Linked DNA regions of Saccharomyces cerevisiae S288C. The protein of the gene in region 1 binds, or shares a complex with, the protein of each later gene. Each region holds a gene or a part of one and is shown on either strand. Other genes may lie near its edges. A codon is read from its position in the direction of its gene.

Region 1 (9,113 bases):
ACCTCATTCCTTACTGGAGAGGCTTGTTCAACATTACAAGCATAATCGTTGTTTTCACCCTCATTATTAGGACGGGCTTTCTTCACGCTCTTGTACTGTGCAATATTGTCTTGCGTAAAACTTTTACTGTTGATTTTATTCATACTTTCCTGGTTCTCCTGTCTTTGAACATGTTCAACTTGCCCTTTTCCATCTTCCTTTGTTATGGTTTGCTGGTCAAGATCTAAAGTGACATTCAAGGAATTTTCATTACAGTTTGTTTCCACTTTTATGCTATTCCTTAAAGCTAACGAAGATTCTTCGTTGGCTATACTCTTGATGTTAGTACATATAACGTCACTGCTAGGCGACACCGCTTGTTCCTCAGAAACTAAAACGTCCACCATCGTTTCATGACCTTTCGATCTTTTATTTTCAGAGGTAGGCGTCTCTTTGGAAGGTCGTTTTAGAGGATTATCACTGTTAACAACGTTATGATCAGGATTCGTTTTGATAGATCTATTTGTTACCGCCTTCAGTTCGCTAGTGAGAACTTCTATCGGTTGGTATGCGTTCACTTCCGAGGATTGTGTATCAATACTTTCATGCAGCTCAGTAACATCCACCTCATCGCTTTTAGTAGAACAAATGTTGCTATGATTGGCCACGTTTTTATCTAACTGCGTACTCTTCATCTGCTGATCTATTTCTCTAATGCTTTCATTATCCACTTCCTCTAGTGTTTCATCATCAATTGATCTGCTTCGGTTAGCATGTGATTCTTGCTGTGAAGAATTCATTATTGCAGTATTTTTAAGCGATATTGAATCTGAATCTTTCGCACTAATCTGGGAAGATATTTGAATTGAGGAGGGAGGCTCTTTCATTCCCTGCGTAGCCGGAACCTGGATATCTTGAGAATCCACTTTTCTCTGTAAGTTTGAAAGTTTATTTTCACTCCCTTCGCATGGAATATACATCGACTTAGTGTCAGGTATAGCTTCAATTTCCTTACTTGAGTCCCCTTGATGAACCACGCCCGATTCCTGTATCCACTTTCCTATTGTCTTTAATGTTGCATTATAGGTTCTCTTATCTTTAAACTTACGATTATGTGATTTGATGAGGTCAATCAACAGATTAACCATATCAATAGTTTGATAGTTAGGGTTTGGCGGTAATATACTAATTAACATGGAAAAAAATTTTTTGGCGGCACTTCTAGAAAGCGGTTTAGTGAGATATAATAAGACTAATTCACGGAGCATATTTGTACTCTTTTTGTGTTTTTGCATATTAGAGCTAACTGGATTTAAGAAGAAAACTAAAAGTGGCTCCTTTAATTTTTCCAAAATTTGGATCTCTTTTTGTATAATAATCTTTTCAAGCAACTCCAATATATAATCATCATCTCCATTTTCAATTTTTTCAATAACTGCTGCCAGTAACTTCCCATTAGGCTTCTCCTTATACGTCAGTAATTTTAACAGTAGCTCTGGACTTATTTTGAAAAGAACTTCGCTGGTCATATTTCCGCAAAATTCATCCAAATGATCCGCCATATTATTCTTTATGCAAAAATTCAATAGGCCACTGAATAATGGTTCAATGGGATTTGCCATCGCCAGATGAAGGAGTTCTCTGATTATTTCTGATTTTTCTAACTCGCTATCAGACGCATTTTGTAAAACGTTCTCGATTTCTGAAAAATTTTGATTTAGCTGTTCAAGTTGTTGACCCTTCAACAGCCAACGAACTAATGTAAGCTGTTCGGAGCACTTGAATAGTTTTATGTTTGCTGCAAAATATGAAGCTCTGCTACGTGGTAACAGCTTCAATAGGAGATCTGAATTTAGATCAGGGATGGAATTTAGTAAATTTGGATTGGAATGAATACAGTACTCCAAAATATCCATAAATTTGTTACGCCTTAAAAATGGGAGCAGACCGGAAAACAGTTCAGGATTCCCTGGTAAAGAAGTTTTTAACAGCGTGATCAGATCCACGTTTAATTTGTTTTCATTTTTTGAAACATAGCTTTGAATGAAATAAATAAAATTATTGTTCGACCACATAGACACATGAAGTAGTGTAAACAAATTAACTGGAAAGCTGAGCTTCAAACATAGGTCCAAGAAATTTTCAATGGAATTTTCATTCGGAACTTTGTTCACAATATTCGCCAAACTCTGAAATTCTCTGAAAGATATATTTGGTGGTAATAACGTTGATCCAACCCAATTTTGGGCATATACTTCTGTTTTCTTATCATCCAATTCTAGAAACTTTTCTATTATCAGAAATTCAGATGTTTCGTTTCGAGCTTTCCTGATAACATCTTTTAAAAGATCAAGGGTCATGTTTCCTTGCGAAATACCAACTTTGGAAATTTGGATATTGAAATTTACTAATGATGAATCATTCTTTCTTAAAAACAGGTCCAAAAATGTATAAACAAACGATGAAGTAACAGCACCAAAAAAGTCACGAAAAATGGGTGTATCTTTGTTGTTTTGCGTGACTTTTAATATAAGACTGCTAAAGGATTCTAAATGAGTTTGGTCCTTTCTATCCTCTGGAAGATGCTTCAAAGATGTAAGGATCAGATCATGAGCCAAATTAACGTTAGAAATGGCTACTTCAACAGCCTGGAACACAACTTTCATGATTTTATCGTATTCACGCTTGATGATCTGCGGGGGCAGGCTTGAAATGTCTTTTAACTTTACACCTTCTGAGGCTATAACACTCATTGGGTGAATATGCTTTTTATATTTTCTTTCCAATGCAACATCTGCATTCTTTCCCCCAATTAACAAATGCAAAACTGTGAAGAGTACATTTTGCAAGTGAATCGAATCATATTTGAAAACATAATCTTCATAAATCGGGGTTATTAGGTGGTCCCAAAATAGTTCAAACATATCTGTTGACAAATTCTTATTACTTGTAAATGCAGTGTAAACAACACCTAAAAGGTGGTAGATGATCCCTTCTCTAGCGCTTGGATCATTCACATAAGGAAGCGTCATTTGAAAAGGGGTTCGTAAAAGTGACAGTAAACTTTTGTTTCCTTCCTGATTTTTCTGTGATATTTTCGTGCATATGCAGTAGGTAATAATTCTCCAAACTTTGATGGACATTAAGCGAGTCTTGGGGTGATTATTGATAAAGCACAGGTTATTTAAATCAAACCAAACTTTGTTAGATTCTGATGTCAAATCATAAACTCTCTTTCCGCTATCGTATAGTAATCCGGTCATTGAAAGCCACAAATCCATTGCTATTTTATTGTCATTTTTGACCACAATATAGTTTTTTATCTGCTGTGTAAGAAGATGACCAATTGTCACTTTATCTAAATTAGCGCTGTCATATGAATTTAACGGTAGTTTAGATAAAAATTTTTCCGGGATTGTTTCGCATACTGGAGATAGCATGATACACTGGTAAATCCTTTCATGTTCATCAACAAAATCTAAGCATTTTTTTAGTAGTTCCAGTAAAACAACTATTGAAGTTATGAGAATTTTCATGGAGTAAATTTCATCTCCGATAATAATCCTAGGTAGTACCTCACCTGGTAACCAAGAAGTTACCGTCTCAATCATTAATTTTGGATACTTGCTCAAAAATCCCCTTATAAGTAGCAATTTTTCATATATTAGGTTGTGACTATTGATTTCCATTATTTCAGTGAAAGTGCTAATGATAGGTTTAATTTCTTCGTTGCTCAAGAAAAAAGTACCAAATTTTTCGTCTCTCAAGAAAGAGACTTGTGCTGTTATGATTATCTTGTTTGAATTTTCATTTCTTAGCGCACCGGTGGTCCACCTGTAAATAACTTTTAACTTATTAACCAAATCTGGCCTTTTCGTTAGCCACTTAACGATTTTGAAATTAGACATAATAGCACTGAAGAATCGAACTATTTGAACATATAGTCTGATTACAAATGGATTTTTTTTTTCACTACTACTTAATAATGTGTCCTGTGCTATTTGTAGATGCGGTATGCATATTTCAATGATACTTTCTATATTCACAATTAGAATATTGAATTTCTGATCAACCTCGTTAACATTTTTAGTGGTTAGAATGGGTATAATATTATTAAAGGTTGCGTATACCTCAAACCTCCTCGCGACGTAATCTTCAGATTCTTGTCGCAAGATGCCCAATCCGCCCTCAATAATTTCTTTAAACTCCGAAACACTTTCATTATCAACTAAACCATGGATCTCACCACTCACCCAATACTCTAAGGCGCGAGGATTTACCCTTGTTTCCTTATAAGGTGATGTGAAAATATTACCGTTGTGTAATTTGTGTTGGGTATATTGGAGTTTATTGTAACTCAAGTCGCTTACAGTCCTCACTGAAGGCAACCTATTCCTCAAAATTGATTTTCCTGGTTTGCTTGATGGAGAGGGTTTAGGTGAGGAACCTGGTATGCGGTAAATCGGTGATGATTCTATCCTATCAGAAAAAGCTACACTTTTTGTAACCGGTGATACATTATCACTATTAGAGGCAGACAACTCTGGAAGACTTTGCATTAGCCTGCTTCCTGTATCTTCTGGATATAAATTCTTGTTAATAGCTGATAAATCAAATTGTTTATTCTCGCAATCACTTGAAGACGCTAGCTTTCGCCTCTTTGGCGTTGGCGATAGATCGCTTTGTATATGCATATGAGCTTGTGGAGATGGAGGTGGCAAGTTAGTTTTCATCCACGGAGAGCTTCCATTGGAATAATTATCGTGTTGAGACCTACGGAGGATATGCTGATCAATTCGATCTATCGTATGTTTCTTTTTATCTGAAAAATCTTTCGACATTGCAAATTGACCACAAAAACGATTTTGCAATGGCAATCCTGTAATAACGTTGACGAATATATATATATATATTCACTTTTATCTCCTTAGGTACTGATGCCGACGAATTGCCTCAAATCGCTCTAAGACTGCGTTATTACTTTCGATCTTCTTGCTAACGATGAGTCGCCAATAAATAAAAAATCGACGCGTCGGTCAATTATAGTAACTTCTATTATTGTAGTAAATATGACATAAGAGGAAAAACACAAAGAACTGAAAATCAAAATGGCACTAATCACCTGCCTTCTGTTGACTTCTTGTTTCTTATCAAAAGTAGAGTATATTCACGATGTAAATCTAAGATAGCTGTCCTTACTATATAAATATTTGCTGCGGCCCTTTTTTAACGATTTGTAAAGGATTACAGCAGTTCGTTATACTTGGCTGATAGCGTTAATTTTGCATACTTTTCTTATAATTGGTAATTTTCCTACGTATTATACAGTTGTACGTATACTTATATAACAAAGTTCATGTGTACTTCATATTAACCTCAGCGATACCCCTACAGATGATGTGCCAATCCATAGTTTTGTCTTTTTCGCGATTATAATGCTTTTTCCACCATTTGAAGAGCTCATATACGAAGAACAAGTTTGGTTGAATGATAACATTAAGCCTCCGTACCCTCACAAACAAATACGCACTTGCCAGGTCACACTGGAGATATCTCATACATTCAGCTATACAAACTGTTGCAGATCTGGAGACTCCGACCATACAATGCACCAGAACTTTCCCTCCTGTTGCTTCGGAATTGCTAATAAAATCCAAAACTTTGTCTATTTGGTGGAAAAGCGGATCTTTGCCGTTGTCATCTAGATTTTCGATCTGGCAAATTTGAAATCCAGAATTTTCACTTATTACTACGTTGCTGCCATTTTCTTGCTTATCGCTGACCACAGTATCAGCTCTATTTCTGCTTTTATTACATGTAGTATTACCTGCAACTTCATTGGTATTCGTCATAGTTATTGCACGATGTGGCCTTACAGGATGAGCAATTTTATCCTTATTCAATGTCCATGAAACAACTTCACCGACAGAAACTATATGCGTAATTCCTAGAGACTTAAGTAAGGCAGGATTTTGTGCATGATCCAGGGATCCCAAATACAAGTGACGTAGAATCCGGGATGGCAGTGGGCCCTTCAAATTAACGAAATTAGACTCAAGAGGAATCTTCATAAAAAATATGCTACTAAAAAGCTCTGAAGAAATGTGTAATTGAAAGCTTTTATCCCTAAATTTCAATGCATTGGCATATAATTTTAGATTACTTCCATTCTGCGGACTAAACTCCCGCAGGACAGGTTGTAAATGGCCTAAAATTTGCAAGTCTGATGGAAAAAGGAAAAATGGTCTTGGATGGATCCTCAAAAGAGCGTCTTGTAACGGAATATTAAAGTGGAATATAATATAAGCTGTTAATAATAATGACGTTTCTGTATATCCGTCTTCGCAATACATGAACGTCAATAATTCTTGAACTTGGGATACTTGAAATATTAAATAACAAACATTCAAAAGAATTTCCACAGACTGAATGTTTAAGTTCCCCAAACCTATACTACCTGAGGCAGGGAAAGTCAAATGCAAATGCTCTTGTGATTTTGACGCATCATCGTCTAATAAAAGATCTAGATATGTTCGGATTTTCGTTAACGACGGCATTTGCGAGTTTGACGTACATTTTATGATCAATTTCCACACCTCTTTTGTATTCGGTATGTTATACAGTTGAGAAATGGAGGTTGTCGGATTGTCCGTATCATAATTTAGAGACTTTAAATTTACTATGCTTGTATTCTCTTCGAAACGGTGGGTCAGAGATATATTGTTTTTTTTAATTATTTGATAATTATGCCAATCAGTGGTGTTACCGCAAATCAACCCTGTTTCCTCCAATCGTGTAGCTGAAGTCAGCTTATTCAACTCTAACTTCTCGCACAAAACCATATTCTTATCAACGTTATTGAAACACACTATTTCACTAGGTGACGAACATAAATTCAAGGGAGTATTATTCTTGAAAAATTCGTTGTCTAATAAAGGTGTACCAATCAAAGTTTGAGGTATATCTGTATTGAAATTCTGATAAGTGCAAATAAAAAGATTCGTCTTGTAAAGCGATCCTCCACTCCCTACATAACCCTTTTGAACAAACATTAAACAGATCTGTAAAAGTAGTGCAAGGGTTGTACAATTGGGGCAATTTCCCTCGTGTGAGCACGCTGGCGCTGATTCTGTTTGCATATCAGTGCTGCCACCAGTCCGCGAACAATAAATTACTATATTATCAACCATTTCTATCATCTTGGCACATTGCAGGTCGAACCTTCGGAATAGACCTCTCCTTCCCCAGACGTCCTGCCCACTCCGTTTTAGCGTGGTATTAGACCCAACCTTGTTTCTAGAATACCTTTTAAGTTCTAATGATAGTCCACGAGGATCTACTTTCAGAAATGGTAAAATGCTATGATTGTGACAATAAGTAGCAGCGTTTTCCAAAGCAACATCATCCACTTGCAATTCCAATTGTCGTATCTGAAACTTTAGCAAGTTCAAAAGTTCCTTTGTGTTATTGGGATATTGAAAACCATTAGAATCATTTCCAGTTTCACAGGTATCGCCCTCTCTATGAAAGGAAGTGCGAACTTTCCAGGACTGGAAGATATCATTCACTTCGAGAGAATTACGCAAAAGCGCAGAATTGTTAGCATCTGATTGCGATTTGACTATTGCAAGAGAATGAGGAAAATCGGGTGGTTGACCAAAGGAAATATCATGAGCCCAGGGGAACATTTTTTTACATTCAGGCCATTCTGCATCCTGATGTAGTCGCATAAGATCATGCAGTTCACCAGGTGTGATTGAGGGCACTTCCAAAACCATGGTTGTTGCTCTAGTTTTCTATACCCGCCCCTTCTACCTCAATGACAATCTCTCTTTTATGGTTGGTGTTTCTTTTCACTTTTTTACTTCTTCTTGTACTTTTCTTTTTGAACCTTAAAAACTCTTGCAATTATGTTTCCATGATGCTTTTGAAGTAATAATTTATTTTTATTACGCGAAATTAATGGCCTTAACAACTGCCTGCCCCAACAGATAAAAACAAGCAAGGGTCAACCGTGTTGCAAAAAAAATGTCCAACTTAGTTAAAGAAAAAGCACCTGTCTTTCCTATATCTAAAGTAAAGAAGATTGCCAAATGCGACCCCGAATACGTAATTACATCTAATGTAGCTATATCAGCGACCGCATTCGCTGCTGAGTTATTTGTACAGAATCTCGTCGAAGAATCGCTGGTCTTAGCACAACTGAATTCGAAAGGAAAGACAAGCCTACGATTAAGCCTAAATTCTATAGAAGAATGTGTCGAAAAAAGAGATAATTTCAGGTTTCTAGAGGATGCCATTAAACAACTGAAGAAGAATAGCGCACTCGACAAGAAGAGAGAACTAAACATGCAACCGGGTCGGAGCGATCAAGAGGTTGTTATAGAAGAGCCTGAATTGCATGAGGATGATGGTGTAGAGGAAGAAGAAGAAGAAGACGAGGTATCCGAAGAAGAAGAGCCCGTACACAATGAAGAACTTCTTGATGATAGTAAAGATCAACAAAATGATAAATCCACGCGCAGTGTGGCAAGCTTGCTGTCGAGATTCCAGTATAAATCCGCACTAGACGTAGGAGAACACTCCGACTCTTCTGATATCGAAGTTGACCATACGAAAAGCACCGATCCTTAGTGTTGTTGCTATTATTGCTATGTAATTACTATTCGATGCAATATGTTATACATATACATACACGCAATGAGAACCCTAACCTTGAACTTACTATTTTAAAAGGACATCTCGAAAAAGCTTAGGGATAATTAATATTTTGTAGGTTAGAGCTGTTATGTAGGGAAGAAAAACAAGGGCTTTAAAATAATAATCACATTACACGAATAACTTAATTTGTCTTTCTGAAATGGAAAAAGAAAAAAATGACGACTGTAACATTGGATGAATTAATACTGTCATTATTGATACGTTGTTAATTATAGACAGAAATGTATTCAGTACAATAGAACAGTGCTCATAATAGTATAAAGGGTCACAATGTCCAAAAAACAGGAATATATTGCACCAATAAAATACCAAAACAGCTTGCCTGTGCCACAATTACCTCCTAAACTTCTGGTTTACCCCGAGTCTCCGGAGACGAATGCAGACTCCTCCCAACTAATCAATTCACTATACAT
Region 2 (13,547 bases), on another chromosome or scaffold:
TTTTGGATTTATGCTATCAAATTCACCCGGCTCAGTGGGCTTTGAGGCCGCACCATTCAAATTAACTTACGAATATATTGAACTGCTAGGCGGAGTAGAGGGAGAAGCGTTTAAAAAGTTTGTTGAACTAACTAAAAGTTCGTTCAAGGCTCTGAGAAAGTATGCTGATCAAATCGTATCAATGTGTGAGATTATGCAAAAGGACAATATGCAGCCTTGTTTCGATGCTGGCGAACAAACAAGTGTACAACTACGACAAAGGTTCCAATTGGACTTATCAGAAAAAGAAGTTGATGACTTCGTAGAAAATTTCTTGATAGGTAAATCTTTGGGTAGTATTTACACCAGAATATACGACCAATTTCAACTTATTACACAGGGTATATATAGCTGAGAAGGAAAATAGCTGTGACAGAACTGGAAAAACAATTTGCAAATGTCCGGAGAACAAAAAAATTGGAATTTTAGTAAAAGGAATATACATATATTTATTTATTGCCGAGAATAATAGAGCAGCTGACTCAGAAAAAGCAAGGTAAAAGAATGAGAGTAAAATAAATATGTGGTTAATTAACCATACATATAAATTATTATCTTATTTTCTGCGTAAAGCGTCAAACCGTTTCTTCAACTCATCTAGTTCATCATTTTCTTGCTCCTTCTTAGTCTTTCTTTTTGTAGTTTTCTTTTCTGATTGTTTCTTTTCGATCACTTCCTTTTTGATATCTTTCGGAATCTTGAGCTCGTTCTTGATATTTTCACTATTCTGCCTAGGCTTTTTAACAGTGATAGGGTGTTTAGCATCTGCATTGTCATTATCGTCATTATCTAAGGCTAAAATAGGCTTTTCTTCGTCATTATCCTCGATATCTCCCGAGGGGTCACTAAAGTCTGAAGAAATGTTAGAAGACGACGAAGATAAGGAATTCTCCAGCTTACTATATGGCACATCGTATGTTTTCGCGATTTCCTTCAAATAAAGATCAACTAGTTCTTCTTTTGGAACTGAGGGAGAGCATTTTTTTATAATCTTTTCAGGGACATCGATATGATCTGCTATTACTCCATTAACAAACTCAACGTTTATTTTCCAGGCCATCAAATCTTTCAATTGGCTAAGTTCTTTGACTTCATCAACGAAAAGAATCGCATAGATTAGGGATCTGATAGCTTCGTTAATACCATCATCCATATGCTCTTTGACAAGCTGTTCCTCGGTGGAGATATCGTTTATTACCTGCACTCTAGCCAGTAGTAATTCACAATATAGTTCCAATATCTCTAGTAGCTCAATATGAATATCGTCATGAATTAGCGTCTCCACACGATAATGCGCCTTCTGTTCTTTATTTGTCAGTAACAGTTGTGCAACCTGTCTTCGAGACTGCTTTGCAATCGCCTGTTGCTTTTCTTGAGCATATCTTAACCTTTGAATACACATTTTCAGGCATGTTTTAAGCTTGATCTATAACAATAATTTGGATGATAGTTTTACCCTTCTTCAGTTAGTACATCCTAGATCTTTTGCATACTAAAGCTTTTTAAAAATTACTATAAAATATAAACATACAGTGAACGGAATCATTGACGGAGCCATTTTTAGTTGTCGTATTCTCTTATCTATCTTCTATGTTGACTAGTTCTGATTGATTAGCTGGAACTAATAGTATATATAATTTTCACACCCTTTGGAATTCAGAAGGCGTTTTTTTTTTCATGAAACAAAACAATAGAGTGCGGATAGCCGATTCAGTTGATTCTAAAAGTATATAAAATGCGATAAGCGCATAAGCAGCCATTATAAACGTACATCTGAGTCTAGATATATACGTTTGTGTAGCGGGAAACGTTAAAAAAAAAAATCTTAATTATAGTTTATCAAATGACCATATCAACAGGATATTTTAATTCGTCATGTTGGCCCTTGGTGTCATATTCACTTAATCCGACAATGCCTCCAAACTTTAAAAATCTATCAAAACGTTTCAATCGTAAATCGTCAACTTTCTTAACCATATCTGGCCAATAGACTTCATGTTTATACTTGAAGTCTAACAGACCATTGTATAGAGCATCTAGTTGAGATGGCTCTATGTGGTTTTCAAATGGTTCGTCAAAGATAGCCTTCGCCTTAGTGGCAGGGTCAAGGAACGGATACATCATCTTCAAAAAAGCCCACGCAAACCATGGGATATTGATCAGGACACACTTAGCTAACCTTTCAGGGTAATGATCTTGCATGACGTTCAAACACATCCTAGCAATAGAGATGGGTGGAGCTTTATCAGTGATAATACCAGGTTCTTTATAACTTTTGAAATCTACCAAGACTGTGATCTTTTCTACACCTTGGGGAGCTACAGTTGTCGCAGTTTCCATCATGTAGACTAATTCTTGGACTTGTCTAAAGGAAGATTCTGTGTTTTGACGACCATTTTTCATGTAGTATAGAGGTCTTTTAGCGTTGTCAAAGCCCAAAATAACCTGTTTACCAGTTTCGTTCTCAACGGCAACTTTGTCAGCTGTTAAAGGGTCTTTGTCCTCCTTACCATGTGTAAGTCCAATTTCTCTCCTCCATACCAAGGTTTTGGTGAGACCTTTTATGGCGTTCGCGGTGTTCCATTTATTGGCTCTTAGGTATCTTAGAAAACACTCCCTAGAAAGCCAAAACTTCTCCCAATCACTCAAGGGTCTGTCATTGGCATGTGTCCCATTGTCAAGGTCATTGAGATTTTCTGGTAATTTCAGATCATCATCTTGAAAATGTCGTAAGACAGCTCTATATTTTTCGTTTTGATCTTCGGAGATGGGTTCCAGTAGAGGTGCGTTACCATACTTGGCAGGAGGGTCCAAGAATATCTTATCACATGGAATAAGTTTCTCTTTAGGCACAGCAGGCGTATGGTCCCGTTTTCTTGAAAAAAGACCCATTTTTGTTCTTCTTCTTGTGCTTTCTTTGTGTGATTTTTCAGGGTCTTTTTTTTTAAACAATGATGTAAATTAAATCTATCTAAAAAGCGTGATTTTTCCCACGAATTTTAATCCCTCTATTGTTCTCTTTCCACTCCATATTGAGTGAAAGGAAAAATAAGAAAAGTAAATAGAAAATTTATGACGTAGGAATAAAAGTATATAAGTATTTAACAAATTGACCGTAGATAATAATAATGCGCATGAAATTAAATCCTCTCTTTGATCTCTTCAATCAAGATCAACCCATTAACCACATTAGAACATTTTGCCAAATGAAGCCATAGACGAATAGGAAGTAATTGCACTTCTTGACGGTCGATTTGCTGATGGAAACGTGTATATCATCGTCTTCAGCACCGGAGCGGCTTAGTAAATTGAACTTGACGGATCTTAGTAGGAATACGCCAAAGGCAATAAATAAGTAAAATTTTATCAAAATATTCAGGTTAAATGGCATGGTCACGTTGGTCAAAAGCTGGGCGAGAATCAATGGAACAAATTTGTAGCCGACATAGCACAACAGTTCGACCAAACTGAAGCTTGGAATCTTAGAATCGATCAAAAGATACAAGCCAAGCTTCAAAATCAACAAATCTAAACACACAAACGCCAGAGTAGAAGACAGTTTGTAGTACAAGTCTTCGGGGTTGAATGAACCCTTCAGACCTTGCTGCGTATTCCAGATGAGAATATAGGTAACTAGTCCCATAATAGGCATGTACATGTCTGGGGAGTTCACGTCATCCCTTGGTGGCAAAAAGTTGCCAGAGTCCATAATTCGTTGCCAGTTCTTGGTTCCGTTAAGAAAAGGAACTAGGATGAGTTTCAATTTATTGATGACATAACGGGTGCTGACTTGAAAATACGTTGAAATTTGTTGAGAGCCGGCAGCGTTTGCAGTGGCTTTATTGACCGTTTCTTGAAACTGGTTAAAGTTATCCTGACCAATAAAATTAGAAAATGCGCTCTGCCCTAGTTGGAATGCCATCGAACCACGAGGATCTTGGAATGGAAAACCACCGCCACTGCCATTTACGTTTGCATTCATATTCGCATTACCTTGGCCATTCACGGGCGTGTTCCTCGGAATTTGCATTGGTCGTTGCTGTTGTGGAGTGTGGGAAAAGCGATCGTTAACGCCATTCTGCTCACTTGTTGCATATGCGTACGGATTATAAGACATCTTGGTATGGGCCTTTGGTTTTCGTTTTCTGCTATTGATACTCAGTAGCGAGGTCTTACAATCGAAAAGTCAAAAAGATGAGTTGTAGTATAAAACAACAGCTCTGGTGTGCAATATGGATCTTGATACAGAGTCTCGGATATGCTGTTTTAGCACTGAGAAAAAGTAATAGTAACACTGTCAGTGTTCGTCAAAGGCCCAAGTTTATTGTCATTTGAATTGTCAGAATGGTTTATTTTCAGGTAGGGTAACCAGAACGCGTAAGTTTCTTGCATCTTTTACCATTTTAACTGGAAGAGGACCTATCAAAAAGAGCATATGATGATGAAAGAGCACATTCTATCAAGATAACACTCTCAGGGGACAAGTATATGATGTTTGGCAAGAAAAAAAACAACGGAGGATCTTCCACTGCAAGATATTCAGCTGGCAACAAGTACAACACACTCTCAAATAATTATGCGCTTAGCGCGCAACAGCTCTTAAATGCTAGTAAGATCGATGACATCGATTCGATGATGGGATTTGAAAGATACGTACCGCCGCAATACAATGGCAGGTTTGATGCGAAGGATATAGATCAGATTCCAGGCCGCGTAGGGTGGCTGACGAACATGCACGCAACGCTGGTCTCTCAGGAAACCTTATCCAGTGGTAGTAATGGCGGCGGCAATTCGAATGACGGAGAACGTGTAACGACCAACCAAGGTATTTCCGGAGTTGACTTCTACTTTTTAGATGAAGAGGGTGGGAGCTTCAAGTCGACAGTTGTCTATGACCCATACTTCTTTATTGCGTGTAACGATGAATCAAGAGTAAATGATGTGGAGGAACTAGTGAAAAAATATCTGGAATCTTGTCTCAAAAGCTTACAAATCATTAGAAAGGAAGATCTTACCATGGACAATCACCTTTTAGGGCTGCAGAAGACACTTATTAAGTTATCATTTGTAAATTCCAATCAGTTATTCGAGGCCAGGAAACTCCTGAGGCCAATCTTGCAGGATAATGCCAATAATAATGTGCAAAGAAATATATATAACGTTGCTGCAAATGGCTCGGAAAAAGTTGACGCCAAACATCTGATCGAAGATATCAGGGAATATGATGTGCCGTATCATGTCCGAGTATCTATAGACAAGGACATTAGAGTCGGTAAATGGTATAAGGTAACTCAACAGGGATTCATTGAAGATACTAGGAAAATTGCATTTGCCGACCCTGTGGTAATGGCATTTGATATAGAAACCACGAAGCCGCCTTTAAAATTCCCGGATTCCGCCGTAGATCAAATAATGATGATTTCGTATATGATCGATGGGGAAGGTTTTTTGATAACAAATAGGGAGATAATCTCTGAGGATATTGAAGACTTTGAGTATACACCGAAACCGGAGTATCCTGGTTTTTTCACCATATTTAACGAAAACGATGAAGTGGCGCTTCTACAAAGGTTTTTTGAACATATAAGAGATGTACGACCCACTGTTATATCCACCTTCAATGGTGACTTTTTCGATTGGCCTTTTATACATAACAGAAGTAAGATTCACGGCTTGGACATGTTCGATGAAATTGGTTTCGCTCCAGATGCTGAAGGTGAGTACAAGTCCTCATACTGCTCTCACATGGATTGTTTCCGTTGGGTGAAGCGTGATTCTTATTTACCACAAGGTTCCCAGGGTTTAAAAGCTGTTACTCAATCTAAGCTAGGTTATAACCCAATTGAACTGGATCCCGAATTAATGACGCCGTATGCATTTGAAAAGCCACAGCACCTTTCCGAATATTCTGTTTCCGATGCAGTCGCTACGTATTACCTTTACATGAAATATGTTCATCCTTTTATCTTTTCCCTTTGTACTATTATTCCTTTGAACCCGGATGAAACATTGAGAAAGGGTACCGGTACTTTGTGTGAAATGTTGTTGATGGTTCAAGCTTATCAACATAATATTCTTCTACCAAATAAGCATACAGATCCCATTGAGAGGTTCTATGATGGACATCTTCTAGAATCCGAGACTTACGTGGGTGGACATGTGGAGTCATTAGAAGCTGGTGTTTTTAGGAGTGATTTGAAGAATGAATTCAAGATAGATCCTTCTGCCATTGATGAATTATTACAAGAATTACCAGAAGCTTTGAAATTTAGTGTGGAAGTTGAAAATAAGTCCAGTGTAGATAAAGTAACGAATTTTGAGGAAATAAAAAACCAGATAACGCAGAAATTATTAGAGTTGAAGGAAAACAATATAAGAAACGAACTACCTTTGATCTATCATGTAGATGTCGCCTCTATGTACCCAAACATCATGACTACAAATAGACTACAACCAGATAGTATCAAAGCAGAGCGCGATTGTGCTAGTTGCGATTTTAATAGACCCGGAAAAACCTGTGCAAGAAAGTTAAAATGGGCTTGGAGAGGAGAATTCTTTCCCAGTAAGATGGATGAGTATAACATGATCAAGCGTGCATTACAAAATGAGACTTTTCCCAACAAAAACAAGTTTTCTAAAAAGAAAGTTTTGACATTTGATGAACTAAGTTACGCAGACCAAGTTATCCACATAAAAAAACGTTTAACTGAATATTCAAGGAAAGTTTATCATAGGGTTAAAGTATCAGAAATTGTCGAACGAGAAGCCATTGTCTGCCAAAGAGAAAATCCATTCTACGTCGATACCGTGAAATCCTTTCGTGATAGGCGTTACGAATTCAAAGGTTTAGCCAAGACTTGGAAGGGAAATCTGTCCAAAATTGACCCATCTGATAAGCATGCGAGAGACGAGGCCAAAAAGATGATTGTGCTTTATGACTCATTACAATTAGCTCACAAAGTTATTTTGAATTCGTTTTATGGGTATGTTATGAGGAAAGGCTCTCGTTGGTATTCCATGGAAATGGCGGGGATTACGTGTTTAACAGGTGCCACGATCATTCAAATGGCGAGAGCTTTAGTAGAAAGGGTAGGAAGACCATTAGAATTAGATACTGATGGTATTTGGTGTATCTTACCAAAATCTTTCCCTGAAACTTACTTTTTTACATTAGAAAATGGTAAAAAGCTTTATCTCTCCTACCCATGTTCCATGCTGAATTACAGAGTTCACCAAAAGTTTACGAATCACCAATACCAAGAATTAAAAGACCCATTGAACTATATATATGAGACGCACAGTGAAAACACGATTTTTTTCGAAGTTGACGGACCATATAAGGCCATGATTTTGCCTAGTTCCAAGGAAGAAGGAAAAGGTATAAAGAAAAGATATGCTGTCTTCAATGAAGACGGCTCACTTGCTGAACTGAAAGGTTTTGAATTGAAGAGGCGTGGTGAATTACAACTAATAAAAAATTTTCAAAGTGATATTTTCAAGGTCTTTTTGGAAGGTGATACATTAGAAGGATGTTACAGTGCTGTAGCAAGCGTATGTAACCGTTGGTTAGATGTTCTTGATTCACATGGTCTTATGTTAGAAGATGAAGACTTGGTCAGTTTGATTTGTGAAAATAGAAGTATGTCAAAAACTTTAAAGGAATATGAAGGGCAAAAATCTACTTCTATTACGACGGCAAGGAGATTGGGGGATTTTTTGGGTGAAGATATGGTAAAAGATAAAGGTCTACAATGTAAATATATTATTAGTTCAAAACCTTTCAATGCACCTGTTACTGAACGAGCCATTCCAGTCGCAATATTTTCAGCGGACATTCCCATCAAAAGGTCTTTTCTGAGGCGATGGACATTAGATCCATCTTTGGAAGATCTGGATATCAGAACCATAATCGATTGGGGTTATTATAGAGAAAGACTTGGATCTGCTATACAAAAGATAATTACTATTCCAGCAGCATTACAAGGGGTTTCCAATCCTGTTCCAAGGGTTGAACATCCAGATTGGCTAAAAAGAAAAATCGCTACAAAGGAGGATAAGTTTAAGCAGACTTCACTAACCAAATTTTTTTCGAAGACAAAGAATGTACCAACAATGGGCAAGATAAAAGATATCGAGGATTTGTTTGAACCAACTGTAGAAGAAGATAACGCCAAAATTAAAATTGCAAGAACTACTAAAAAGAAAGCCGTATCCAAGAGGAAAAGAAATCAGCTTACAAATGAAGAAGATCCACTAGTATTGCCCTCGGAGATTCCTTCCATGGACGAGGACTATGTTGGGTGGCTAAATTATCAAAAAATTAAATGGAAAATCCAAGCAAGAGATAGAAAGCGTCGAGACCAATTATTTGGTAATACAAACAGCTCCCGTGAAAGAAGTGCACTAGGAAGTATGATTAGGAAGCAAGCTGAATCATATGCGAACTCCACTTGGGAGGTCTTACAATACAAGGATTCCGGTGAGCCAGGGGTTTTGGAAGTATTTGTAACAATTAATGGCAAAGTCCAGAACATCACCTTCCATATACCAAAAACTATTTATATGAAATTCAAATCTCAAACAATGCCGCTACAAAAGATTAAGAATTGCCTTATTGAAAAATCTTCTGCATCGTTACCAAATAATCCCAAAACGTCTAATCCAGCAGGCGGTCAGCTATTCAAAATTACTCTACCGGAATCTGTCTTTCTGGAAGAAAAGGAAAACTGCACTAGTATCTTCAACGATGAAAATGTACTTGGTGTATTTGAGGGCACTATCACTCCTCATCAAAGAGCGATCATGGATTTGGGAGCTTCGGTAACGTTCCGCTCAAAAGCAATGGGTGCGTTAGGCAAGGGAATACAGCAGGGTTTTGAAATGAAGGATCTTTCAATGGCGGAAAATGAAAGGTATCTGAGTGGATTTTCAATGGACATTGGCTATTTACTACATTTCCCAACATCAATTGGGTATGAATTTTTTTCATTATTCAAGTCATGGGGAGATACTATTACTATATTAGTTTTGAAACCATCCAACCAGGCTCAGGAAATAAATGCCTCATCATTAGGACAAATATACAAACAAATGTTTGAAAAAAAGAAAGGTAAAATAGAAACATATTCTTACTTGGTTGATATTAAAGAAGATATCAATTTTGAGTTTGTATATTTTACAGATATCTCAAAATTGTACAGAAGACTATCACAGGAAACTACTAAATTAAAAGAAGAAAGAGGTCTGCAGTTTTTACTCTTGTTACAATCTCCGTTTATCACTAAGCTCTTAGGCACAATCCGGCTTCTAAACCAGATGCCCATTGTTAAGCTTTCCTTGAATGAAGTTCTTCTACCCCAATTGAACTGGCAACCGACATTATTGAAGAAACTTGTTAACCACGTTTTATCCAGTGGTTCGTGGATTTCTCACTTGATCAAGTTATCCCAGTATAGTAACATTCCAATCTGTAATTTGAGGCTGGATAGTATGGATTATATTATTGATGTTCTTTATGCAAGAAAACTAAAAAAAGAGAACATCGTGCTTTGGTGGAATGAGAAAGCTCCACTTCCAGATCATGGAGGCATTCAAAATGATTTTGATTTAAATACATCATGGATAATGAATGATTCAGAATTTCCCAAAATTAATAACTCAGGTGTGTATGACAATGTAGTTCTCGATGTTGGTGTTGATAATTTAACAGTGAACACAATTTTGACATCAGCATTAATCAATGATGCTGAAGGCAGTGATCTAGTTAACAATAATATGGGTATAGATGACAAAGATGCCGTTATTAACTCGCCATCTGAATTCGTGCACGACGCCTTTTCTAATGACGCTTTGAATGTTTTAAGAGGTATGTTAAAGGAGTGGTGGGATGAGGCCCTAAAAGAAAATTCAACCGCAGATTTGTTGGTAAATTCCCTGGCAAGTTGGGTTCAAAACCCGAATGCGAAACTATTCGACGGATTACTAAGATATCACGTTCATAACTTAACAAAAAAAGCCTTACTTCAATTAGTAAATGAATTTAGTGCACTTGGCTCAACTATTGTATATGCAGACAGGAATCAAATTCTAATAAAGACAAACAAGTACTCACCTGAAAACTGTTACGCCTACAGCCAATATATGATGAAGGCAGTTAGAACAAATCCAATGTTTAGTTATCTGGACTTAAATATCAAACGTTATTGGGATCTGCTAATATGGATGGATAAGTTTAATTTTAGTGGATTAGCATGTATTGAAATAGAGGAAAAGGAAAATCAGGATTATACCGCTGTTTCGCAATGGCAACTAAAGAAGTTTCTGTCACCAATATATCAGCCCGAATTTGAGGATTGGATGATGATCATATTGGATAGTATGCTAAAGACAAAGCAGAGCTATCTAAAATTGAATTCAGGGACGCAAAGACCTACCCAAATAGTTAATGTAAAAAAACAAGATAAGGAAGATAGTGTTGAAAACTCGTTGAACGGATTTTCTCACCTTTTTTCCAAACCACTAATGAAAAGAGTCAAAAAGCTTTTTAAAAACCAGCAAGAGTTCATTTTAGATCCTCAGTATGAGGCAGACTATGTTATTCCTGTTCTTCCTGGTTCCCATCTGAATGTGAAAAATCCCCTTCTAGAACTTGTCAAATCACTCTGCCATGTCATGTTACTTTCAAAGAGTACAATTTTAGAAATCAGGACCCTGAGAAAAGAACTGCTGAAGATATTTGAATTGCGTGAGTTTGCTAAAGTAGCGGAATTCAAAGATCCAAGTTTGAGTCTCGTGGTGCCGGATTTTTTATGTGAATACTGTTTTTTCATTTCTGATATTGACTTTTGTAAGGCAGCTCCTGAATCTATTTTTTCATGCGTCAGATGTCACAAAGCCTTTAATCAAGTATTGTTGCAAGAACACCTGATTCAAAAACTACGTTCTGATATCGAATCCTATTTAATTCAAGATTTGAGATGCTCCAGATGTCATAAAGTGAAACGTGACTATATGAGTGCCCACTGTCCATGTGCCGGCGCGTGGGAAGGAACTCTCCCCAGAGAAAGCATTGTTCAAAAGTTAAATGTGTTTAAGCAAGTAGCCAAGTATTACGGTTTTGATATATTATTGAGTTGTATTGCTGATTTGACCATATGAGTAAGCAGTATATAACGCGAGGTTCAATGGCCTCTTTACCATGAAAAAAAAAAAAAAAAAAAAAAAAAGGTAAGGAAAAAGAGTATTTTCAATTCGTTTCTGAACATATAAATATAAATAACCGAAAAATTAGCCCTTGAACATAATTAACACTCTTCTTTGATATTTAAATCACAAGTACTTTTCTTTTATTTTCTTCTTAATACTTTTGGAAATAAAATGAATGTGACCACTCCGGAAGTTGCTTTTAGGGAATATCAAACCAACTGTCTCGCATCGTATATTTCTGCTGATCCAGACATAACTCCTTCAAATTTAATCTTGCAAGGTTATAGTGGAACAGGAAAAACCTACACTTTGAAGAAGTATTTTAATGCGAATCCAAATTTGCATGCAGTATGGCTGGAACCTGTTGAGTTGGTTTCTTGGAAGCCCTTACTGCAGGCGATAGCACGTACTGTACAATATAAATTGAAAACCCTATATCCAAACATTCCCACCACAGATTACGATCCTTTACAGGTTGAAGAGCCATTTCTTTTGGTAAAGACGTTGCACAATATTTTTGTCCAATATGAATCTTTGCAAGAAAAGACTTGCTTGTTCTTGATATTGGATGGTTTCGATAGTTTACAAGATTTAGACGCCGCACTGTTTAACAAATATATCAAACTAAATGAATTACTTCCAAAAGATTCTAAAATTAATATAAAATTCATTTACACGATGTTAGAGACATCATTTTTGCAAAGATATTCTACACATTGCATTCCAACTGTTATGTTTCCGAGGTATAATGTGGACGAAGTTTCTACTATATTAGTGATGTCTAGATGTGGCGAACTCATGGAAGATTCTTGTCTACGTAAGCGTATCATTGAAGAGCAGATAACGGACTGTACAGACGATCAATTTCAAAATGTAGCTGCGAACTTCATTCACTTAATTGTGCAGGCTTTTCATTCTTATACTGGAAACGACATATTCGCATTGAATGACTTGATAGACTTCAAATGGCCCAAGTATGTATCTCGCATTACTAAGGAAAACATATTTGAACCACTGGCTCTTTACAAAAGTGCCATCAAACTATTTTTAAGCACAGATGATAATTTAAGTGAAAATGGACAAGGTGAAAGCGCGATAACCACAAATCGTGATGACCTTGAGAACAGTCAAACTTACGACTTATCAATAATTTCGAAGTATCTGCTCATAGCCTCATATATTTGTTCATATCTGGAACCTAGATACGATGCGAGTATTTTCTCTAGGAAAACACGTATCATACAAGGTAGAGCTGCTTATGGACGAAGAAAGAAGAAAGAAGTTAACCCTAGATATTTACAGCCTTCTTTATTTGCTATTGAAAGACTTTTGGCTATTTTCCAAGCTATATTCCCTATTCAAGGTAAGGCGGAGAGTGGTTCCCTATCTGCACTTCGTGAGGAATCCTTAATGAAAGCGAATATCGAGGTTTTTCAAAATTTATCCGAATTGCATACATTGAAATTAATAGCTACAACCATGAACAAGAATATCGACTATTTGAGTCCTAAAGTCAGGTGGAAAGTAAACGTTCCCTGGGAAATTATTAAAGAAATATCAGAATCTGTTCATTTCAATATCAGCGATTACTTCAGCGATATTCACGAATGATTATCTCCCTGGAAGGTATCCAGAGGGCAGGATACGTTCGAAACAACAACTACGTTATATAAATATTTATACATAGTGGGATAGAATGAACAATTATCAAGTAAACCTTGTATTTTTTGTTCCCACGCTCTACGCTCTGTTTCTTGGATATGGTAATCAAAGATTAATACGTATAACCGTTATTAATTCAGTCCACTAGAAACTATTAAAAGCGCCCTACTGTATGGAAAAACAATGAATGAGGAGACTGAACGGCGCAAAATTGTTAGTTTAGTTGCTCTTTTTGGCGGCCGGCGATAATGTTCTTCACTTGGTATTCTTACCAGGATTGAGCCTGATTTTGTTTTGTCTTATTCTTTGCGATGTCTTCATTTTCTACAAAACCTCTAATTTCTCCGGCAATGGCCCTTGAAACGTCTTCAAAGACTTCAAATGTCACGGTGGGGGTTCTTTTATCTTTAACTAATCGATGAAGAGTTATTAGAATGGTTCTAAACTTATTTTTCAATTTTATTAACACCCTCTCAAATTCCATCACACTTTCATCATCGTTATTCATTTTCAAACCTTTCATTAAAGTACGAATGGTATGTATATTCTTTTCTAGTGTTGGACTATGCAATCCATACGATTCTATAACATCACACAAACCTTCCATTTGTCCCAGGAGCGTAAATCTTTGGAATCCCACT
Region 3 (9,037 bases), on another chromosome or scaffold:
TCAGCGGAGATGAAATCACTTCATATGGATATGGCTCTATACCCCAGAGCATCGGGGATGTAGAGAACGGATTGAATCCTCCTTATGTCGAAAATACATCATCTGATGAACTTGTACATGATCTGACGAGAAGACGGATATTTTCATCCTGTATGTGTACTTATTTATTCTTTATTGCAATGGACAGTTCTATAATCCTAGTAATTGCGTCCAAAATTGCTTCGGAGTTTCATGAGTTATGGAGATTATCCTTAGTCATCTCAGCATACCTATTGAGTAATGCTATTGGGCAACTGGTATTTTTGAAGCTATCTTTAATATCCAGTGTAAAATTGTTGTTGTGTATTGCTCAATTCAGTTTTATCCTTGGTGGCTATTTATCTTGGAGTTCTGCCCATTTTTGGACGTTTATCTTTGCCCGTTGTGTCACAGGATTTGGGGGCGGTTCCTTAATAGCGCTCAAAAGTACTATTATGAATCGGTTTTCTCAAAAGAACGACAGTCGGTACTCATTGAGTGCCTCTATGATAACATTTGCTATGGGTGTGGTAATTGGGCCCTTTATGATGAACTTGTTTGATTCTTCTCATGGTAGCGGGTGGAGAAATGCCTTCTTAATACCAGTTCCTTTTTGCCTTGTGAATGCCTCGATTATGCTGGCAGATATGTATTCTGTTAAGAGCACTTTATATGGACGCCCAACGCCTACATTATGGAAAAGATTCAAGAATACTCTATTAAGTCCTGATTTATACGAAATATTGACACTTACGCTATTCCTACTTTGTTTCGTTCAAGTGACCTCATTGGATTTAACAGGGTTAAAGAATAATACGATGATTCAAGCGCTACTATTTTCTGTAATTATCGTTTGTGGCATTTTATTTTTCTTGATAGAGACAAGCGATACTTACATGAACTCTGTAATTTCAATGTCCTTACAAGGTGACAAGCGTTTAATATGGACAATGATAGGAATTTCATTTTGCTTTGCAGCATTAATGTGCATCATCCCATTCGGTACAACGTACTTCATCATTGTTTTAAATTTAAGCACTTTACAACTTGCAGAGAGATTGTCCCCATTCTTTTTCTCCATTGTACTGGGTTACTTTAGTGTTTCTTATTTTTGGAAGTCGAAAGGACAGAATTTTTTGCTAAAATTTGTTTTAAGCGGAGCCACCCTGTTACTATATGTGGCACTTATGGGGGTAAGTTTGAATTTACCAGTATGGAAGCAATATATATGTTTGTCTCTGCCATTTTTGGGCTCCTCTATGATATTGACCTTGCTGTCAAATCTTTATCATGAGTACCATGAACAAAGAAAGTCACCTATCAGTGGTTCTATCGTATATTGTTTCGGTGCCGTGGGGGGGACGGTTGGTATTTCCTTGGGTGGTTATGTCTTCCACAAAACATTAATAAAACTTATGCATGAGAAGGTGATGCCATTTAGCAAGCAAGGTTATCTTAAAAAGGACCTTTTGAAAATTATCAAGCACGCTACGGAATCTTCAGATTGGGTACACGAATCAGCCCCAAAGTTTGTTTTTCAAACTTTGATTGAGTGTTATTTACAAGCATGTCGAAACGTATTCAAACTCTCTACCCTTTTTTTTACGATTACTGTCGTAGCAATATTCATTTTCAACAGAATCCATTGTCGTAGTCAAAATTGTTTGTCACTATCTTGAACCGGTAGATGAAAATGTATACTTTAAATAATACAAATACTTTTTTTCTTTTTTCTTAAACCCGATAATACTTTTGTCGCTTAGATAAAGATGCAGGGAACTTCAATCATTGTGGTGACCGCACAAAGGCGGGATCTGAAAAATGATCGTATGGGGCGGGGGAAGAATAGAAGAGTGAACAAGGGGATATGGTATCCGTGCAAGAAATGAATGGCCAGAATAGCTTGATTTTTACTTGCTGAAAATGCAGCAAGCGGAAACCCCTCTATCAGTAGGCAACCAAAGAAAACATGGTTTTGTTTATGATAGTGTTTTCTCCGACTAAATGACACTTAATATATAAGCCAGTCATTTTTCTTTCATACTTTCCTCTTGCATGACGAAACAATTCTTTTTTTATTTCGTTTCCTTGTCTGTACTTTTTAGACACTTGACCATATCACAGATATTTACAGACTCTTTTAATTCTAAATAGGTAAAATGTTCTTCAGCCAAGTTTTGAGATCTTCCGCTCGTGCTGCCCCAATCAAGAGGTATACAGGCGGTAGAATAGGTGAATCGTGGGTAATTACGGAAGGTAGAAGGCTCATTCCAGAAATCTTTCAATGGAGTGCAGTATTGAGCGTTTGTTTAGGTTGGCCTGGTGCTGTATACTTCTTTAGTAAGGCAAGAAAAGCATGAGTTTGATAAGAAAAAAAAATTTGCTAAAAATGAGTGTAACACTACCAACATGGCGAGTTTAGTTTGATACTAGGCGCTATACATTATTATTTATATGCCCAGAGGTTACAACAGTGGCTACAATGCAAAAAATATACTGGCTTATATTTTTCATTTGAGATCTGGTTCCTCAAATATATATATATATTTATTTATTTTTTACACATACATACTGCCCTCCTGATTACTTTAAACATCTATATTACAAAAGAGAAGCATTCTTTTCCGTCCATTATACCGTTCTCGGGCGGATCCTTAGTTTCTTACGTTTTAGCTCTAACACTAATCAAAATTCTTATGAAGTGTTGGGACGGGCTTTTGGGCCCCAATTCTTTGTTGGATTTTCCTGATATCTCACAATTTTTAGCTTCCTTAGTTTTTCAATATTACCGCTTTGTTCATTTGGTGCGAACGACAGCTTTGAGTCATACTCTGATTTGACAGTGCCACTCAACCATCCTGGCATTGCCGATAAAATCTTATAGCCCGTAGTATTTGGATTCATTTTGCTTAAGTCTTTCTTCTCATCATCACATTTCTGCATCACATACCAGATTGCATCCCATGGAGCGTTAGTCTTTAGGGACGATGGTTGGGCATGTGTCAATGAACATTCAAAGCCTAGGGAACCTAGGCCTGCGACTACTTTTTTCAAGGGAGGTACTTGTAATTTTATTACCGATGCAATATGGTTAGGACTGAAATAGAATGGCGAATCGGATAATTCATTCTTAGCTAGAGATAGCATACCTTCAATTCTTTTACGTGTTCCATATGTATCATCCTGGTCACGATGCTCTTCTTTATTAATTCTCAACACCTCCTCGATGAACTCCTTGTTGTGTAGAGGTCCTGCATACATTGGACCAGCTAAATGGTATGTCCCCTCGCAGAACTTACATTTAGTATCAACCGGAGGCCCTTGCGCAACCGAGTATTTGGTGAATGTTTTGTTGTTCCTACCTTCGCGTTGAGAAATTCTGCCCAGAGGTTGATTGTGGTAAGAGCCGCAACGGGAACAATGGTAAGTAGTCATAGTACTTGACATAACGTTTTTGACTTCAATCGGGCTTGTTTTGACTTTGACAAAAACTCTGACGTAAAAGTCAATGCTCAACGACAAAAGCGGTTCCACAGTTTTCTTGTATTTCGCGGCAGTTTGCTTTAGTAAGTTCAATACTAGTCTCAGCGCACTTTCGTGAGTTGATTCATGAGAAACCATATTTGCACCACCATATAAGGCAAAACACTTTTCTGGGTATCCGTTACCGGCCAAAACGGATAAATCAGTGCAAGTTACCAGCATTAGACCACCCTCCTCAATACTCTGAATAGCCGCATCTACAAAAGGTGTAACGGTACCGTAAGGATCCAAGTCGATGACGTGAAACTTATTATTCGTCGCTTTGTTACGGTACATTAAGACATTAGCATCATCAAGGTTTGGCTTGACAATGTTTTCGACACTATTATATTCAACGTTTCGTTTTATAGATTCGACAGCCTCTGGAAGTAAATCGTTAGCAATAACTTCCCTCACATGGGGAATTTCATGAGCATACCTAATGGCTCTTAACCCAGTGGCTGACAATGCTTCCAAAATATTTATATAAGGTTCGTTTCGATTAGAATTACCAACGGCTTCTTTTGGTGACCCGTTTCCCATTTTTTGACGCTTGGAAGAATCATCGTTAGTTTCCGCGCACCTTTTCTTCTTACTTTTTTTATTATTTCTCTTTTGGCCACATTCCTCACCATATAGGTTGTCCCACGCCTTGATGCATGTAACACTTAGATCTCTATTAAATTGTTGGATGGGATTATAGAAAACAGTTTCCTTTTTAGGGAAAAGAATTTCTGCTTTTCCTTCCTTGACTATATTGAAATCCTCAATATTGATTCTTGGTGCACCATACGCGGTAAAATTCGCTTTAATTTTGGATATAGCAGCCTTCAACATTCCGTGTAAATTTGCCCGCTTGAGGGGTATCCTGAAGAAACCTTCCATATCTACATTGTAAGAGGAAAGGTATCAACTTATGACTGCTCAGGATCTGTAACTTTGCGATGAGCATTGAATGCGATGAAAAAAAAATAATGCTTTATCCCTTTGGACGAATAAAGAAAGGCTCAAATTGGAATAACGTTAAAAACCAGATTCGATCATCAGAGCTTAAAATTGTTATTCATAGCGGCACAATAGCAGAAGCCACAGAATATTACCTAGAGGTTTTAGGTGAAAGGAAGGATTTTTTTAATTATTTAATACTTTGAAATAGAAGTCAAGCCTTTCATTGCTTATTTATATCAGACCATATATTTTTACACACGATGCCACCAAAAGGTTGGAGAAAAGACGCCCAAGGGAATTACCCCACTACTTCGTATATTAAAGAACAAGAGAACATTACGATTCAGGACCTGTTATTTCCTAAAAGCACTATTGTGAATTTGGCACGCGAAGTGCCACAGCAAAGCGGCAAAAAGCTGCTGATAAATAAAGACGCATCACTAGCGTTACAGCGTGGTGCTACAGTATTTGTTAACCACTTGCTCCTGTTTGCAAGGGAAATTGCAAAGAGTCAAGATAAAAAAAGCTGCAGTGTAGATGATGTTCTGAGTGCTTTGGACCATATAGGACACTCGGCATTGAAGGGTCCGGTTAGAGATAAACTAGATGAATACCAAGCTGCTGTTGAACAGAGGAAGAAGGAAAAACTAGATAGTGGTGAAGTAGATGCTGATGGCGATATAGATATGGGTGAAGATAAGGAGAATGTGCCCGTGGAAAAGGTTAAAGAGCATGACGAAATAGAAGAACAAGGCGATGCATTACAGGACGTAGAAGAGTCCTCCGAAAAGAAACAGAAAACGGAGAGCCAAGATGTAGAAACTAGAGTTCAAAACCTTGAGCAAACGTAACCCCGCTATGGAAACTGTCTAGTAGTGCTTGCCACCACTCCCACAGGATCGTAGTATGTAACTTGCCTTTATTACCTACATACATAATAAGCTATACTCATCGTCGTTATTTGCAAGCCGGGGAACCCAACGCGGCGCCAATGCGGAAGGAAAGAAAGGGGACAAGAAGTTGATATTGGTGGAACGTTAACAAGAAATTATGGCGTTGAGGAAGTGTATTAGCGAGATACGATATCAAGCAGGTTTAGTTAGAGCCACTTTGTGATTTGAAATTTTTTGAGATTTACTTCGTTATTATAAGGACATACGGTAACCTAGGCTAGTTAACATAATTAGTTGTCACCCTTCGCCCCCCTACCCTATCGGTCTTTCATTTTCCAACTATTGATTAGTAAAATTCAAACATCTTTGCTCCGATTAGAGCAACTGAATATACTAGGGATTTTGGGCTATTACGCATTTTTTTTTTCAACTTCTTTTAAACAGGTACAGTTTATTACGATTACTTTTTGCTCACGTAGAATATGGATGATTATCACGTAAATACTGCCTTCTCAATGGGCAGAGGTAACCAGCAGGATGATGGCAATAGTGAAAGCAACAGCATGCATACACAACCAAGCACTATGGCGCCCGCTACGCTGAGAATGATGGGAAAAAGTCCACAGCAGCAGCAGCAGCAGAACACACCGCTAATGCCCCCGGCGGATATCAAATACGCCAATAATGGTAACTCACATCAAGCAGAGCAAAAGGAGAGACAAGTAGAACTTGAAGGTAAATCGAGAGAGAATGCACCAAAGCCAAATACTACCAGCCAGAGTCGAGTTTCGTCTTCTCAGGGCATGCCTAAGCAGTTTCATCGAAAATCGTTAGGAGATTGGGAGTTTGTTGAAACAGTTGGTGCAGGTTCTATGGGTAAAGTGAAGCTGGCAAAACATCGTTACACTAATGAGGTTTGTGCAGTAAAAATTGTAAACCGTGCTACAAAGGCTTTCCTACATAAAGAACAAATGCTGCCACCACCCAAAAATGAACAAGATGTTTTGGAGAGACAGAAGAAATTAGAGAAGGAAATATCTAGGGACAAAAGAACTATTCGAGAAGCGTCCTTGGGACAAATCTTATATCATCCACACATATGTAGACTTTTTGAGATGTGCACGTTGTCAAATCATTTCTATATGTTGTTTGAATATGTTTCAGGTGGTCAGCTGTTAGACTATATCATCCAACATGGGTCAATACGAGAACACCAAGCGAGAAAGTTTGCTAGGGGTATCGCGAGCGCCTTAATATATTTGCATGCTAACAACATCGTCCATAGAGATTTGAAGATAGAAAATATAATGATTTCAGATTCCAGTGAAATCAAGATAATTGATTTTGGACTTTCAAATATTTATGATTCTAGGAAGCAGCTTCATACATTCTGTGGCTCTCTGTATTTTGCCGCTCCCGAGCTGTTAAAAGCGAATCCTTATACAGGACCTGAAGTAGATGTCTGGTCATTTGGTGTAGTTTTATTTGTTTTGGTATGCGGTAAAGTGCCATTTGACGACGAAAATTCGAGCGTTTTACATGAAAAGATCAAGCAAGGTAAGGTTGAATATCCCCAACATTTATCTATCGAAGTAATATCACTGTTATCCAAAATGTTGGTAGTAGATCCGAAAAGAAGAGCCACACTTAAACAGGTTGTGGAGCACCACTGGATGGTAAGAGGGTTCAATGGTCCCCCTCCTTCTTACTTACCGAAAAGAGTTCCCCTAACTATCGAAATGCTTGATATAAATGTCTTAAAAGAAATGTACCGTTTAGAATTTATTGACGATGTAGAGGAAACAAGAAGTGTTTTGGTCAGTATAATCACAGATCCTACTTACGTTCTTCTCTCTAGACAATACTGGACTTTAGCGGCCAAAATGAACGCAGAATCCAGTGATAACGGAAACGCGCCAAACATAACAGAGAGTTTTGAAGACCCAACTCGGGCATATCATCCAATGATTTCCATATATTACTTGACTTCTGAGATGCTTGATAGGAAACATGCGAAAATTCGGAATCAACAACAGCGACAGAGCCACGAAAATATAGAAAAGCTTTCTGAAATACCGGAAAGTGTGAAGCAAAGGGACGTAGAGGTCAATACAACCGCTATGAAATCAGAGCCAGAAGCCACGTTGGCGACAAAAGATACCTCTGTGCCATTCACTCCAAAGAATAGCGATGGCACAGAGCCCCCCTTACATGTCTTAATTCCACCGAGGTTAGCAATGCCAGAACAAGCGCATACGTCACCAACGAGTAGAAAAAGTTCTGATAATCAACGCCGTGAAATGGAATATGCTCTCTCTCCAACTCCTCAGGGAAATGACTATCAACAATTTAGGGTACCTTCAACTACTGGCGATCCCTCAGAAAAGGCGAAGTTTGGGAATATATTTAGAAAATTATCACAGCGCCGTAAAAAGACCATTGAACAGACATCTGTTAATAGTAATAATAGTATCAATAAACCTGTGCAAAAGACGCATTCTCGCGCTGTTTCAGACTTTGTCCCTGGTTTTGCTAAACCGAGTTATGATTCAAATTATACCATGAATGAGCCTGTCAAGACAAACGATAGCAGAGGTGGCAATAAAGGTGACTTTCCAGCATTGCCTGCGGATGCAGAAAATATGGTAGAGAAGCAAAGGGAGAAGCAAATTGAAGAAGATATAATGAAATTGCATGATATTAATAAACAGAATAATGAAGTTGCAAAAGGAAGCGGGCGGGAAGCTTACGCTGCACAGAAGTTTGAAGGAAGCGACGACGACGAGAATCATCCCTTACCACCTCTCAATGTTGCAAAAGGTCGAAAACTACATCCAAGCGCAAGAGCTAAATCAGTTGGTCATGCTCGTCGTGAATCACTCAAATATATGAGACCCCCAATGCCTTCATCTGCCTATCCTCAGCAAGAGCTTATAGATACTGGGTTCTTAGAATCAAGTGACGATAACAAATCCGATAGTTTGGGAAATGTTACTTCACAGACGAATGATAGCGTCAGCGTGCATTCTGTGAACGCACACATAAACTCGCCATCTGTGGAGAAGGAATTAACAGATGAAGAGATATTGCAGGAAGCTTCTAGAGCTCCAGCCGGTTCTATGCCATCCATCGATTTCCCCCGTTCTTTATTTTTGAAGGGTTTCTTTTCTGTTCAGACAACTTCATCGAAGCCTTTGCCAATTGTTAGATACAAGATTATGTTTGTTCTGAGGAAAATGAATATAGAGTTCAAGGAGGTTAAGGGTGGTTTTGTTTGTATGCAAAGGTTCTCTTCCAATAATGTGGCAGCGAAGAGAGAAGGGACTCCAAGATCGATCATGCCACTTTCGCACCACGAATCCATTAGACGTCAAGGCTCTAATAAATACTCACCTTCTTCTCCTTTGACAACTAATTCCATTCACCAGAGAAAAACATCTATTACCGAAACCTATGGAGATGATAAGCATTCGGGAACATCTTTGGAGAACATCCACCAACAAGGTGACGGTAGCGAAGGCATGACTACAACAGAAAAAGAGCCCATCAAATTCGAAATTCATATCGTCAAGGTTCGTATTGTTGGTTTAGCCGGTGTGCATTTTAAGAAAATTTCTGGGAACACTTGGTTGTATAAAGAGCTGGCTTCTAGTATA

The links.
Region 2: the proteins of DPB3 (region 1) and POL2 are in contact, whole or in part, in a cryo-EM structure (PDB 6WJV), measured with the Saccharomyces cerevisiae proteins. Residues at the interface, in NP_009837.1 of Saccharomyces cerevisiae: Cys23 (codon at 8,074), Pro25 (codon at 8,080), Glu26 (codon at 8,083), Val33 (codon at 8,104), Leu44 (codon at 8,137), Gln47 (codon at 8,146), Asn48 (codon at 8,149), Glu51 (codon at 8,158), Val55 (codon at 8,170), Leu56 (codon at 8,173), Gln58 (codon at 8,179), Leu59 (codon at 8,182), Glu79 (codon at 8,242), Lys80 (codon at 8,245), Arg81 (codon at 8,248), Asp82 (codon at 8,251), Asn83 (codon at 8,254), Arg85 (codon at 8,260), Phe86 (codon at 8,263), Glu88 (codon at 8,269), Asp89 (codon at 8,272), Ala90 (codon at 8,275); in NP_014137.1 of Saccharomyces cerevisiae: Asp302 (codon at 5,431), Ala304 (codon at 5,437), Val305 (codon at 5,440), Asn389 (codon at 5,692), Lys392 (codon at 5,701), Ile393 (codon at 5,704), Asp1080 (codon at 7,765), Lys1083 (codon at 7,774), Asp1084 (codon at 7,777), Val1270 (codon at 8,335), Trp1272 (codon at 8,341), Leu1273 (codon at 8,344), Gln1276 (codon at 8,353), Lys1277 (codon at 8,356), Lys1279 (codon at 8,362), Trp1280 (codon at 8,365), Gln1283 (codon at 8,374), Arg1287 (codon at 8,386), Arg1290 (codon at 8,395), Arg1301 (codon at 8,428), Glu1302 (codon at 8,431), Ser1304 (codon at 8,437), Ala1305 (codon at 8,440), Gly1307 (codon at 8,446), Ser1308 (codon at 8,449), Met1309 (codon at 8,452), Glu1582 (codon at 9,271).
Region 3: the proteins of DPB3 (region 1) and DPB4 are in contact, whole or in part, in a cryo-EM structure (PDB 6WJV), measured with the Saccharomyces cerevisiae proteins. Residues at the interface, in NP_009837.1 of Saccharomyces cerevisiae: Ala9 (codon at 8,032), Pro10 (codon at 8,035), Phe12 (codon at 8,041), Lys16 (codon at 8,053), Ile20 (codon at 8,065), Cys23 (codon at 8,074), Asp24 (codon at 8,077), Glu26 (codon at 8,083), Tyr27 (codon at 8,086), Val28 (codon at 8,089), Ile29 (codon at 8,092), Thr30 (codon at 8,095), Ser31 (codon at 8,098), Val33 (codon at 8,104), Ala34 (codon at 8,107), Ser36 (codon at 8,113), Ala37 (codon at 8,116), Thr38 (codon at 8,119), Phe40 (codon at 8,125), Ala41 (codon at 8,128), Ala42 (codon at 8,131), Glu43 (codon at 8,134), Leu44 (codon at 8,137), Phe45 (codon at 8,140), Val46 (codon at 8,143), Gln47 (codon at 8,146), Asn48 (codon at 8,149), Leu49 (codon at 8,152), Val50 (codon at 8,155), Glu51 (codon at 8,158); in NP_010406.3 of Saccharomyces cerevisiae: Asn25 (codon at 4,821), Thr37 (codon at 4,857), Ile38 (codon at 4,860), Leu41 (codon at 4,869), Ala42 (codon at 4,872), Arg43 (codon at 4,875), Glu44 (codon at 4,878), Ser49 (codon at 4,893), Gly50 (codon at 4,896), Lys51 (codon at 4,899), Leu54 (codon at 4,908), Ile55 (codon at 4,911), Asn56 (codon at 4,914), Asp58 (codon at 4,920), Ala59 (codon at 4,923), Ala62 (codon at 4,932), Leu63 (codon at 4,935), Arg65 (codon at 4,941), Gly66 (codon at 4,944), Ala67 (codon at 4,947), Val69 (codon at 4,953), Phe70 (codon at 4,956), Val71 (codon at 4,959), Asn72 (codon at 4,962), His73 (codon at 4,965), Leu74 (codon at 4,968), Leu75 (codon at 4,971), Arg79 (codon at 4,983), Lys88 (codon at 5,010), Ser89 (codon at 5,013).

Annotation. Positions count from the first base shown.
Region 1 is NC_001134.8:752,287-761,399, forward strand, and holds DPB3 (DNA polymerase epsilon noncatalytic subunit), read left to right. Parts: upstream 1-8,007; coding exon 8,008-8,613; downstream 8,614-9,113. Other genes in the region: DNA-binding protein RIF1, read right to left, coding at 1-4,820; tyrosine/serine/threonine protein phosphatase PPS1, read right to left, coding at 5,334-7,757; PAF1 (Paf1p), read left to right, coding at 8,971-9,113. UniProt on the Saccharomyces cerevisiae protein: As accessory component of the DNA polymerase epsilon (DNA polymerase II) participates in chromosomal DNA replication.
Region 2 is NC_001146.8:143,685-157,231, forward strand, and holds POL2 (DNA polymerase epsilon catalytic subunit), read left to right. Parts: upstream 1-4,527; coding exon 4,528-11,196; downstream 11,197-13,547. Other genes in the region: PIK1 (1-phosphatidylinositol 4-kinase), read left to right, coding at 1-394; IST1 (Ist1p), read right to left, coding at 596-1,465, 1,571-1,597; PDR17 (phosphatidylinositol transporter), read right to left, coding at 1,879-2,931; protein transporter YIF1, read right to left, coding at 3,212-4,156; ORC5 (origin recognition complex subunit 5), read left to right, coding at 11,416-12,855; ribosome biosynthesis protein LTO1, read right to left, coding at 13,175-13,547. UniProt on the Saccharomyces cerevisiae protein: Catalytic component of the DNA polymerase epsilon complex which participates in chromosomal DNA replication.
Region 3 is NC_001136.10:688,837-697,873, forward strand, and holds DPB4 (DNA polymerase epsilon noncatalytic subunit), read left to right. Parts: upstream 1-4,748; coding exon 4,749-5,339; downstream 5,340-9,037. Other genes in the region: VBA4 (Vba4p), read left to right, coding at 1-1,697; COX26 (Cox26p), read left to right, coding at 2,178-2,378; TRM1 (tRNA (guanine26-N2)-dimethyltransferase), read right to left, coding at 2,713-4,425; serine/threonine protein kinase KIN1, read left to right, coding at 5,864-9,037. UniProt on the Saccharomyces cerevisiae protein: As accessory component of the DNA polymerase epsilon (DNA polymerase II) participates in chromosomal DNA replication.